3 linked regions of the Caenorhabditis elegans genome follow. The protein of the gene in region 1 purifies or fractionates together with the protein of each later gene. This does not show direct contact. Each region holds a gene or a part of one and is shown on either strand. Other genes may lie near its edges. The genes, in order: M142.5, hxk-2 and nsph-3.1.

What was found.
Region 2: the proteins of M142.5 (region 1) and hxk-2 fractionate together in Caenorhabditis elegans (co-fractionation; one large-scale study listed by BioGRID). This does not show direct contact.
Region 3: the proteins of M142.5 (region 1) and nsph-3.1 fractionate together in Caenorhabditis elegans (co-fractionation; one large-scale study listed by BioGRID). This does not show direct contact.

The regions. Positions count from the first base shown.
Region 1 is NC_003281.10:10,929,440-10,933,193, reverse strand, and holds M142.5 (AD domain-containing protein), read right to left. Parts: upstream 1,994-3,754; 5' UTR 1,986-1,993; coding exon 1,869-1,985; intron 1,820-1,868; coding exon 1,736-1,819; intron 1,678-1,735; coding exon 1,243-1,677; 3' UTR 433-1,242; downstream 1-432.
Region 2 is NC_003279.8:11,321,069-11,324,822, forward strand, and holds the start of hxk-2 (Phosphotransferase), read right to left. Parts: upstream 2,043-3,754; 5' UTR 2,025-2,042; coding exon 1,990-2,024; intron 1,916-1,989; coding exon 1,813-1,915; intron 1,304-1,812; coding exon 1,144-1,303; intron 406-1,143; coding exon 263-405; intron 1-262. Other genes in the region: cdk-9 (putative cyclin-dependent kinase 9), read left to right, coding at 2,464-2,513.
Region 3 is NC_003282.8:10,947,755-10,951,508, reverse strand, and holds nsph-3.1 (Nematode Specific Peptide family), read right to left. Parts: upstream 1,700-3,754; 5' UTR 1,632-1,699; coding exon 1,364-1,631; intron 1,316-1,363; coding exon 849-1,315; intron 799-848; coding exon 433-798; 3' UTR 376-432; downstream 1-375. Other genes in the region: Y69E1A.1 (MFS domain-containing protein), read left to right, coding at 2,773-2,983, 3,437-3,754.

The sequences.
Region 1 (3,754 bases):
TTTAAAATTAATTTTTTTTGTTGAAAAAATTTATAATAATTTTTTTATTGAAAAAGCTCTCTAAACCAGATTCTCTAAACCAGTTTTTCTTTAAAAAAATCAATTTTTATTTTTAAAAATAAATTTAAATTTAGCAAATAACCGGTATTTCTTTATTTAATTTTTTTTTTGGAATTCCTGTAATATTTGGGCAATTTTTCGTGTTTTTTCGAATGCAAAAATGTGAAAAATAGCTCAAAAATTCGTAAATTCAGATTTTTTTGAAATAAAAATTCACAGAAATCGAAAATTAGCTTAAAAATCGATTTTTAATGCTTTCAAACTGCCATTTCAGAATTTTTAACGAGCAATTTTAGAAAATAATGATTTAAAAAAGATATAAAATGGTAATTTAACCCATTCTTTCACAGAAAAAACAGAAAAAACTACGAAAAAAATTAAATATATATTATATTTTAGGGCGGAATTTAATAAATAATTGAGGACGGGGGGCAATTTCAAATTTAAAAAAACTAAAAAAAAAAAAGGAGAAAAATGCTGAGAAAAGGTTCAAATGCAATGAAGAATTGGTTGATTTGGAAGAGAAAATATATATATATATATTGAAAGGGACAGAGATACCTGAAAAACGAGACCCGCGGCTGATGAATTTTTATTCGAAAAATCGATTTTTAGGGGGAAATAGCAAGAAAATCGATTTTTTTTTTGAATTAAAAACGGAGAAAATACAACATTTTCGACCTAATTTGTTGAAAAACGACGTTTTCTTGATTTTTTTCTTGTTTTGAAAATTTTTTAAGTCGATTAAATCGATTAAAATTACATTTTCTCGAAGACGATTGGAAATTATCGGGAATCACAGAAAAAATGAAGAAAAATATCGAATTTTTCAGAATTAAATAGATTTTCACGAAGTTTTTTTTTAATCAGATTTTTTTTTTGAATTTTAATTATTAAAAATCGTTGAAATTTTCAATAGAAGAATTCGAGATTTTTTTTTAAATCGGCTTCAAATTCAGTTAATTCAAGTTTGAAGATTAAATTTTAAAAAAATCCTGAATAAAATCGATTCAAAACGGAATTTTGTCGATTTTCACAGAATTAATTAATTTTCGAGTTTAAATTCTCGAAATGTTACTTTTTATGGGTTTAAATAGAGATTTTCTTGATTTTCCCCACTCTTTTCTTTAAACCCATCAGCCTTAGGACAAAAAATATACAAAAATGGGAAAAAATCGATAACTAGTTGGCCACAATAGCTCCAATAGTGAAATCAAGCGGAGCACGTGCCGTATACTCGGTCATTGGTTTTGAGAGAATTTTCTGAACTTGAAGTACGGCACTTTCGGCACGCGATTCATCGAATCCTGTCGCTTTTGCATCTTTTGTCACGTCGGACACCTCGTAGGGCTTGTGAACCAACACGAGCCCGAGCACACGGATATCCTCGCCACACCAACATGTATCCGGAATTGTGCGCTTCAATTGCAGATAGGCTTGTTGTCCACGAATCGATATTGCTGGTGATTTCATTAGATTCGGTGTGAGCTCGCCGAGAGTTTTGTCGAGCCGTTCGGTGGTCCGTGTACCGTTTACCGGATTGTTCTGGGCGAATTGCTCGGTTTTGGCGCGCGCGAATTTCTCGCTTTCCTCGAGAGCTTCACTTAACACTTTTATCTGAAATTAATATTAATTATTAATATCAAAGTACCGATTTTTGCCAGAAAAAACTCACATTTTTCAAGTGCTCCGAGTTGAAAATGCGAATCATTGGCTTGTTAATCGCCATTTCCTTGGTGTCGAGAACCAAAACCTGAAACTTTGGCTTTTGGTTAATAAATAATTCAATAAATCGATAATTCTCTTACCTTGCGAGTCGTGTCGAACGAAATTACCACTCCCCGGGCGCTCAAGCCATTCGTCGTCTCGATTTCGACGCAGGCGCCGATCGCAACGTTTGACGCTGTCAGATTACACGAAGCCATGCTGCAAAGACAACTATATTGTTTTAAAATAATTATTTTCAAAATTTTGAAACAAAAAATGCATTAAAAACAAGAAACTGCACAAAAACGGGTCGATAAATGCTGCGGCGCCGATGGAAAAAGACGAAAAAGGGAGGTGTCAGCATGTGCGCTCCGTTGCGAACCCACACTGAACATTTGTTTGTCGTGATTTTTGAGGGGAATTACACGATACGAAGCGATGCTGGCCGCGCGGCAAAAGTTCAAGAAATCAATGATTATTGTTTAAAAAATGAAATTCTCGTGGAAAAATGAGTTAAAATTCAAGAACCGCGTGCAAAAAGTGACCTGAAACCGAAATGGAAAATGAATTTTCAGCGAAAATCTGGAAATCTGCATCAATATTCGAAAAAAAAATATTTTCCATCGAAAAAGTGTGAAATGCAAATGCAATAACCTCGGATCCGAGCTCGGAGTCAATCAATTATGCTTGTTTCACTCTGAAAATGTTTTCCCCATTAGTTTTCGTGAAAAAAACCCTTTTTCATGAAATGTCATGCTCTTAAATTTTATGTTCATTTAATTTTACTCAAATACTTATTACGGGAACACAAAATTCTGAGAATGCGTATTATTGCGCAACATTTGACGCGCAAAATATCTCGCAGCAAAAACTACAGTAATTATTTAAAGACTACTGTAGTTTCGATTTAAGGTCTCCATTTTCGAAATGAATTAATAGAATTTATTTATATGTAGATGAAATAATAAAATCAATCAAAAAAAAAGAGAAAACAATTCTAAAGTCACTATTCAAAAATCGAGCCCGTAATTCGACACAAGCTCTACAGTAGTCATTTAAAGAAATTACTGTAGTTTTCGCTACGAGATATTTTGTGCAATACGCATTCTCAGAATTTCGTGTTCCTGTAATAAGACTGGTTTTTTTTCGTTTTTTTTTCGCATTAAAAAACAGGTTTGATTCAAGAGGAGATTTTTTGTCGAAGAAGTTCAAATTTCTTGGTTTCCCGCCCTGCCACGTGGCAAAACCCCCTCAACATGTAGCATATGTGTTTTATAAATTTCATAAACCCTCTGCCCCCGCACAACACATAATTCATTGCTGCTGCCCGGCGAACTTTTATGCAAATCACAGTACTTGAGAGTTAAGACGCCTGTTGTTTCCCGCGTAGTCATCTATCATCATCTGCTGCTCCTACTGCTGCTCTAAATGGTGTCCAAGGACACAGACACACAGACACTAATCATGAAATGAGGAGGAGATCGGTGGAGCATATCGAAGTAGTATACATACACTTTATGAGCCATCATCAATTTTGTCTTGTACCTCAAATTGGAGAAGAAGGAGAGAGTCTCAGTCATAAATTGAGAAATAAGGAGTGTTTTATAACTAAAAGCAATTAGAGTTTAGCTTACTTATAGTTCGTTTTTTTAAGAGAAGAGCATTTAATTAATTACAGTATACTATAGTCGCAAAGAAAATTCATTGTTTTTGTAGGGCTTCCATGTAAGCGTTAACACGCCTGCCTGCCTGCCTGTGAATTTGGAAAATTTGGCAGCTTTTTTTTTCGAAATGCCAGAATATTGTGTTGACTGTAATTTTTTAAATGTATTTCTAAGTTTTTCTCCAATTTTGAAAAACAGTTTTAGGTGCACCTGAATTGCGTATTGCGCGCTGAAACACGCTCCTATTTTCAGCAATTTTTTTGACTGAAGTTCATATTTTTGAGAACATTTTTAGCGGGAAATTCAAATTGCCTGTATACAAG
Region 2 (3,754 bases), on another chromosome or scaffold:
GAAATTTATGAAATTTCAGGGGTTTCAGGCTGAAAATGTCAATTTCTCGGATTTTTTAGGGTAAAAAACCAAAATTTTCCAGGTTTTCATGCTGAAAATCCCCAATTTTCAAGTTTTTCATAGCTTTTTTTCTGCTTTTTTCACGAAAATTCCCAATTTTCATGGTTTTCTTCAAATTTCAGTGGCAATTTCTTCAACTTTTATCGCTTTTTTTCCAGTTTTTCAGCGCGTTTTCAGGCTAAAAATCCCGATTTCCTCGTACTTTTTGTCCGGTTCCATGCATTGCGGCATTTGGCATTCTTGTATTAAATTGTTTAGTTCTCATCGGCTCACCGGGCTCCAGTTCCATCAACATTACACGTAGATTTGTGCCTCCGAGGTCCATTGCAACGAATTTTCCACGTTCTGCAAAAGAAAATCATTGATTTTTACTGAAAATTCGGCGGAAAGTGGCTGATTTTGGTGTAGGTGGCTTAGAAAATGGTGAACTGGGATTTCTAGGCCACCTAAAGTTAGGCCATAGTATGACAGTTGTTGTTTTGCCGCAAGAATGGAGTTCTTGGTAAAAATCTGGTGGAAAATGAGTAGGTGGCCTAGAAAAAGCTAGTTTTGGATTTCTAGGCTACCTAAAGTTAGGCCATGGTGTGAATTCATTGAAATTTACGATTTTTTCAGTAGAACATGAAATTTTCGTGAAAATTTGGCGCAAAATTGCTGCTTTTGGTGATGGTGGCCTAGAAAATGGAGGCCTGGGATTTCTAGGCCACCAAAAATTAGGCCATAGGCTGAAAATATGAAAATCAACGTTTTTTCAGCAGAACATGGAATTTTCTTGAAAATTCGGGGGAAATGAATGAGTTTTGTGTAGGTGGCCTAGAAAATGATGGGTTTGGATTTCTAGGCCACCAAAAGCTAGGCCATGGATTGAAAAATCGAATTTTTAGCCAATTTTTCGGATTTTTTGAATTTTCAGTCAAATTTTCTACGTTTTCAAGAGAAAAATCAGTGATTTTTATGAAAATTCTTGCTTTGGTGGCCTAGAAAATGGTATATTTGGATTTCTAGGCCACCAACTGGAAAGTTAGGCCACGACCGTAAAAACCCATTCTTAGGCCATTTTTTCTCGATTTTTCGATTAAAAACCTTTTCCATTCGGCAATTCTGGCACAAAAGATGGTAACATTGCAATTGTGGACCGTTCCAAGCCGGATTCCAGTCCTCGATCCATATTATCTGATAAATGGGACATCATTCGTCGGAGAGTCGTATTTGACAGCTTAAACTCGGCCATCACGGATTCCAGCTGCAAAAATATCGATTTTTAGGTGGTAAATTGGTTGGTGGCCGTGAAATTTGGGTTTCTAGGCCACCGAATGGAAAAGTTAGGCCACGGACTGATTTTTGATCAAATTTTGATATTTTTAACGGGTTTTAGAGTTAAAAAGCAGCAAATACTCAAATTGTATTTTACGGTGGCCTAGAAAACCCAAAACCGGATTTCTAGGCCACCAATTCGGAAAGTTAGGCCATCGATTCGAATTTCGGTGATTTTCGAAGATTTTCACTTTTTTGGACATTGAAAATGAAGTTAATATCAGATTTTTCTGAAAAGGTGGCCTAGCCGGATTTCGAGACCACCAATTCGAAAAGTTAGGCCATGGACTGATTTTTAGTGAAATTTTGCATTTTTCGACTATTTTTTACGACAATTTCAGCGAAATATGCCAATTTATTGTGTATTATAAGGATTTTCATGCTTAAAAAGCCATTTTCAACAGTTTTTCTCCCGAAATTTTCCGCCAAATCTCCCACCGAAATCGATTCTTCATTCAGTTTCGACGCCATTTTTGCCAGCGGAGTCGTCGGCGTCCGCGGGCTCTTTTTTCCCTTTCCATGGGCTTGTGAACGCCATATCCTGAAGAAAAATGCGGTTTTATCGATTTTATCGATTTTTCCCGGGCGGAAAAAATTGAAAAATGTGAAAAATACCGATATTGAATGCCGAGCTCGATGATACCCAGCATTTTGTGTAGATTTTTGGGCTGAAAATGTTAATTTTGACATTAAAAAATAGTGGGAAAACAGATTTTTTATTTGTTTTTAAGAAAAATAAAATAATAAAAACCACGGGTTTCAGGGGCACACACAAATTGTCAATATTTTTGAGTGAAGATTTGACGAGAAGACGAGGAAAAACATGACGAAGAGACGCAGGCGAAACCCTTCGAAATTGATGATAGAAATGCTTTTTTTTTTGCAAAATAAAATAAAATACGGAAAATGTCAAGTGTGTGCGGCGGTTTGCAAATATCGCGCGCCCGCATTGCAATTGAGCCACTCCGCCCCTTTTCTCTATTTCTCAATGTTTTTTTTTGCAATTTTCCTCTATTTTTTCGGTTTTTTCGCAATTTTTTCGCAATTTTTAATGTTTTTTTCCACAAAAATTAACAATTTTCAGAGCAAATGAGTGCTCAAAACTATCACGCCGGCCTCCACCAGTCGAGTACACAGAGGTTCGTTGGATTTTAAGCGAGAAAACCCCCGGTTTTTCGTTGATTTTCACTAGAAATTCGTGATTTTAACGTGAAAAACACCCCAGATAACTAAAAAATCCACGATTTTGATTTGCAAAACAAAAAAATCAAAAAAAAATTCGCAGAAAATTGATTTTTCGGCAGTTTTTGAGTGAATTTTCACACCGAAATTTATTAAATTAGCGATTTTAACAGCATTTTCCACTGAAATATCACCAAAAATCCAAATTTAAACCTAAATTTTCACTAAAAACCGAGTTTTCCACCTTTCTGAGCAGATATTTATCGATTTTAAGCAATTTTAGAGAGTTTTCCGCTGAAATTTTCGAAATTTTCCCCGAAAAATCGATATTTTCATATGAAAAACTATTAAAAAACTATAGTGAAAATCGCTGTTTTTTCCAACTTTCAGTTTTTTAGGCTGTTTTTTTCACTAAAAAGTCGATTTTCACCCGAAAAAACCGGGGTTTTCAACTATTTTTACTCATTTTAAAGCAATTTTAGGGTGATTTTCACTGAAATTTCTCATTTTTCCCAATAAAAATCGATATTCTCGTTGAAAAACTACGGAAAATCCCTGTTTTTCCAACTTTTTCAGTAGGTTTAGGGTGTTTTTTCACTAAAAAATCCAAATTTTTTCGATTTTCCCCTAAGAAACCCGGTTTTTCACCTATTTTTGGGTAATTTTCACTGAAATTTCCAATTTTTCCCCTCGAAAAATCGATATTTTTACGTAAAAGACACCTTTTGAACACTAATTTCCACTGGAAATCCCTGTTTTTTTCACCAAAAACCCAAATTTAAACCTAAATTTTCACTAAAAACCGGGTTTTCCATCTTTCTGAGCAGATATTTATCGATTTTAAGCAATTTTAGAGGGTTTTTCGCTGAAAATTACCTCAAAATCACTCCGAAAAATCGATATTTTCATGTGAAAACTACTGAAAATCGCTGTTTTTTCCAACATGTTCATTTTTTTGTACTAAAAAGTTTTCGTCCGAAAAAAACCGATTTTTCACCTATTTTTACTCATTTTAAAGCAATTTTAGAGTGATTTTTCCCCGAAAAATCAATATTTTTACGTAAAAAACACCTTTTTAACACTAATTTCCACTGGATTTTTTTCGGCAAAAATAATGAAAATTCACTCAAAATTCGTGATTTTAACGTGAAAAACACCCCAAAAAACCGAAAAATCCACGATTTTGATGACAAATCCC
Region 3 (3,754 bases), on another chromosome or scaffold:
AAATGTCAAACGCTATGTGGCCGAAGAAAATTTAAGTTTCAATGAAATAAAATACCAACGAGAATTTTTTTAATAAACTTGTTCTTCGTCTGGAACTTTCGGCTGTATTGTTGTTGTATATTTTCTTTTAAAAAATCCCATTTTATTTTTCAAATGTAGAAAATATTATTTTTCAATAGAAATATCACAACAGCACAGTAGACATTTTCGGACAAAGAATTTCAGCTCTGTGTAGCTCCTTAGCAGAAAATTCTGAAGCCAAATTCTTGTAGCCACTTATCTCAGCTGCCCATTAGTTTGTTTCGTATTGATAACCCCCGCACTTTTAACTTTATTCTCTTGTTTTCTGGAGCAGGAAAAAATACAAACACGAACAAGAAAATATCTTTTTATCAATAAACACATATTCAATACAGTTCGGAATGGACAGAATTAACCATCCAACTTGCATCCTGGTTTAGCCTTACGGCACAAGACAGTAGTATTGTCAGCACAAGATTTTGCAGAAGCAGTATGCTCTTTTCCTTGATAACCATATCCGTACTTTTCATTACGAACATCGACCTTTGCCAAAATTTGCTTTCCTCCAGAAACATTGACAACTCCCACTGAGATGTCACCCTTGTGGTTGTTCACATGAACTGGATGCCATTCTTTGTCTCCGAATTTGGCAGCTTCTGGGAACGAAATCCATCCATAATCGAAACCACGAAGGTTATCAGGCAGATGAACGAGAAGTTGGATAGATCCAACATTCTTGGTGTATTCGTTATTGAACCACGAGAAGTTGGCAGCCACCTGAAATTTAACATATTGAACGCGAATTCTTTAATAATAGCAAGACTAACCTTTCCACCCTCATTCCATACACGACCCATGACAGGTTCTCCCTGCATGTACCAAAGTGCAACGTATTGATCTGGATTGACACCTGGCAAAGTATCAAGAGTCTTATCAAGAGCCTTGACAAGTTGACGAGTTGGCCATGCATCACCCTCACGAATGTCCATCCATTCATCTCTCTCGACACGAACCTTTGGTCCACTTCCACAGTTGGCACAATCACAAGATGGTGGCCCACCAATGCAGTTACGGGTGATGATGTACATGTCATTGAGTTGTGGTCCAACTTGTTTCAGCACTTTTCCATTGAACGAGAACCAAGCCTCCTCAGTCTTGTTGTCGACATAACCAAGAAGATTTCCTTCGGCACGCTTCCAGAAGATTGGGAATGAATCACCACAACGCACAAGTTGATGTTTATCGTCAATCTTCTCAATACGATCCTTGTACTTAATCCATTCGTACCAGAAACCTGAAATTCATAAAGTTAAAACTATAAGGTTTTCACCATTAAGCTTACCTTGATTGTTATGGTCTCCTACGTATTGAAGAACCTGGATCTGTCCTTCCAGTTGTTGCTTGGTTGTCAATTCAGCTTGCTTATATGGGAATGAACATTCAACAACTCCTCCATTGTTCCATGAGCGACCGTGGATTGGTTTACCGTGCTTGTACCAAAGAGCAACATACATATTCTGTTCTCCCATACATTTCACAGGACTCGGTGGGAATGGGGCTCCAATTGGTTGAAACGCCCAGGTGTCTTCCTTCGGTGGCGGGTTCGGCATTGCGTTTTCAGAGGAACTTGTCTCTTGTTGGACGATCGGTTGAAAAAATCGATTGTAGATTGAATTATGAGCAAATTTTCGAGCTTTTATACCAAAATTTTATTTTTTTTTGCCACGTATTTCCAACTGGACAAAGTTCGCATGGAGTCACGTGCTTATTCATTTTTATACTCACTTTCTAAAAAAAATTTTGAGATCAGAAACCTTTCTGAATAATAAATAAACTATAAACATTTCAACCGATAAAATAACATTTGAAGAAGGCTGAGGGTTTTTTTCTGAAATTTCCAAACATTTATATTTCCTAGTTGTGAATTTTTGCCATTTTTATTATTTAAAGCAGCACATGATGAGCCCGTCACGAAATTACTGTATAGGCATGAGGAAGGTATGCACGCCTGAAGATGTGCATGGCACGCCTGATGACGTGCATTCATTATCTGAAAGTCGGGAAAAATCGGAATTGATATTTTAGCAACACAAAAACACTTGTTTAACTTTTCTTTTTGGATTGATAATTTTATATTTTAAGTTTAAACTGTTGAAAATTTACTGGCACTTTGAAAAAGAAATCAGTTTTAAAAAGGATGATTTATGTTTGCTTAATATTAAGTTTTTAGAATTTTTAGAACCTATTTGATATTTGATATTTGAGCTTATAAAATTTTTTGGGATTTTTAAAAAGTTTGCAAAAAAACTTGAAAGAATTTTCGCTTGAAAGCACGACAAACTTGGACAAACAAGTGGGGCTCGATGCTTGATTCTTGAATATCCAATCTTGTGCTTGATTTGCACTCCTGGTTTCGAGAAGCTTGTTGGTGCCTCATTAGTAGAATTTCAAAATTATTATGTTTTTTTCTAATTTTGAAAAAGTTAAAATTCTATACTTTTCTGCGTGAATCGTCAAAACTACATTTTCTTATCTTTGCCCTAGATCTAAAATATTTGATTATAAAAGAGCGAAAACTTCATAAAAGTTTTATTATATTCGACTCTTACTCGTCTCGAGTTGGAAAACTTCTGGTAAGTCATCAACTGATCCTGGTATCTTCTTCAACAAGAGGCTTTCAGCACTTCGTGCCACTCACAAATCCAATACCAGCCACCTTTTGGTGAAAATCGTTAAAGAAGAAAAAGAAAAATGGCCGACGGAAGCCAATCTGCAATGGACCAAAGTGCTGTCACTGGAGCACCAACAATGGCTTCTGAAGTCCAACCAGCGGACGCATCTGTCGCTCCAACTGTTACTCCAGGAGGTGCCTCACAACTCGGAGGACAGGAAGATGCATCGATTGGTTTTGTTACCAAGACATATGCCAACTACGTTCAGGATATTCAGCAAGCTGCTGAAGGTTAGTTTTGATATACTGTTAAGGATTGGCACCAGAGTTGCGCAACAAATTTATCGGCACTCGTTGTTGTGTCGAAGTTTTGTTTCGGAAATGTATACAGAAAACAACTTTAGTTTCAATTGGGAGATTTGAAAAATTACTCAAAGTGGCAATGAGCGACGACGATTGATATTTGAATCAGTTTTTGATCAATTTTTCGGAACTTTCGGAATTGGAAGTAAAGCTACTTTCACAAAGTACAAATATTCCTTTATAATTTTCCGGAAAAAAAACTTTGATTTAACGATGGGAACAAGCGGATTATGTGAAAGTGCCAAAAAATGTGCCTCAATTCTCTAGTGAGCATTGCAAATGATTATTTTCGTAACGTGCACACAGTGCCTGTTCCTCAATCGCGATGAGTCCATTGTGCTCTCTGTGACCTTAACTGTATATATAAATAACTGCTTTCAGGACTACGTCAACGTGCGGCTGCTCTCCAACAAGAAGGTTCAGGACAACTCCAGCAACTCCAATCACAAATCCAGCCTCAAACACAAGAGCTCATCTCGGCTCTCCAAGAGACACAATCTCCAATTGGTCTTCCAACGTCCTCAGTCGTCGAAATTTTCGGATGGTCTTCAATTCTGCTTCTTGGAGCTGGAATTGCAAGCATTATTGGAGGATATGTACTTTCTCCAATTTTCGGAATTTTCATTGGGAGAGGTGGATCGGCCATTTTGGCAACTCTTGCCATTCCTGCGTTCGGTGCTTATCAACTGAACAATGAGG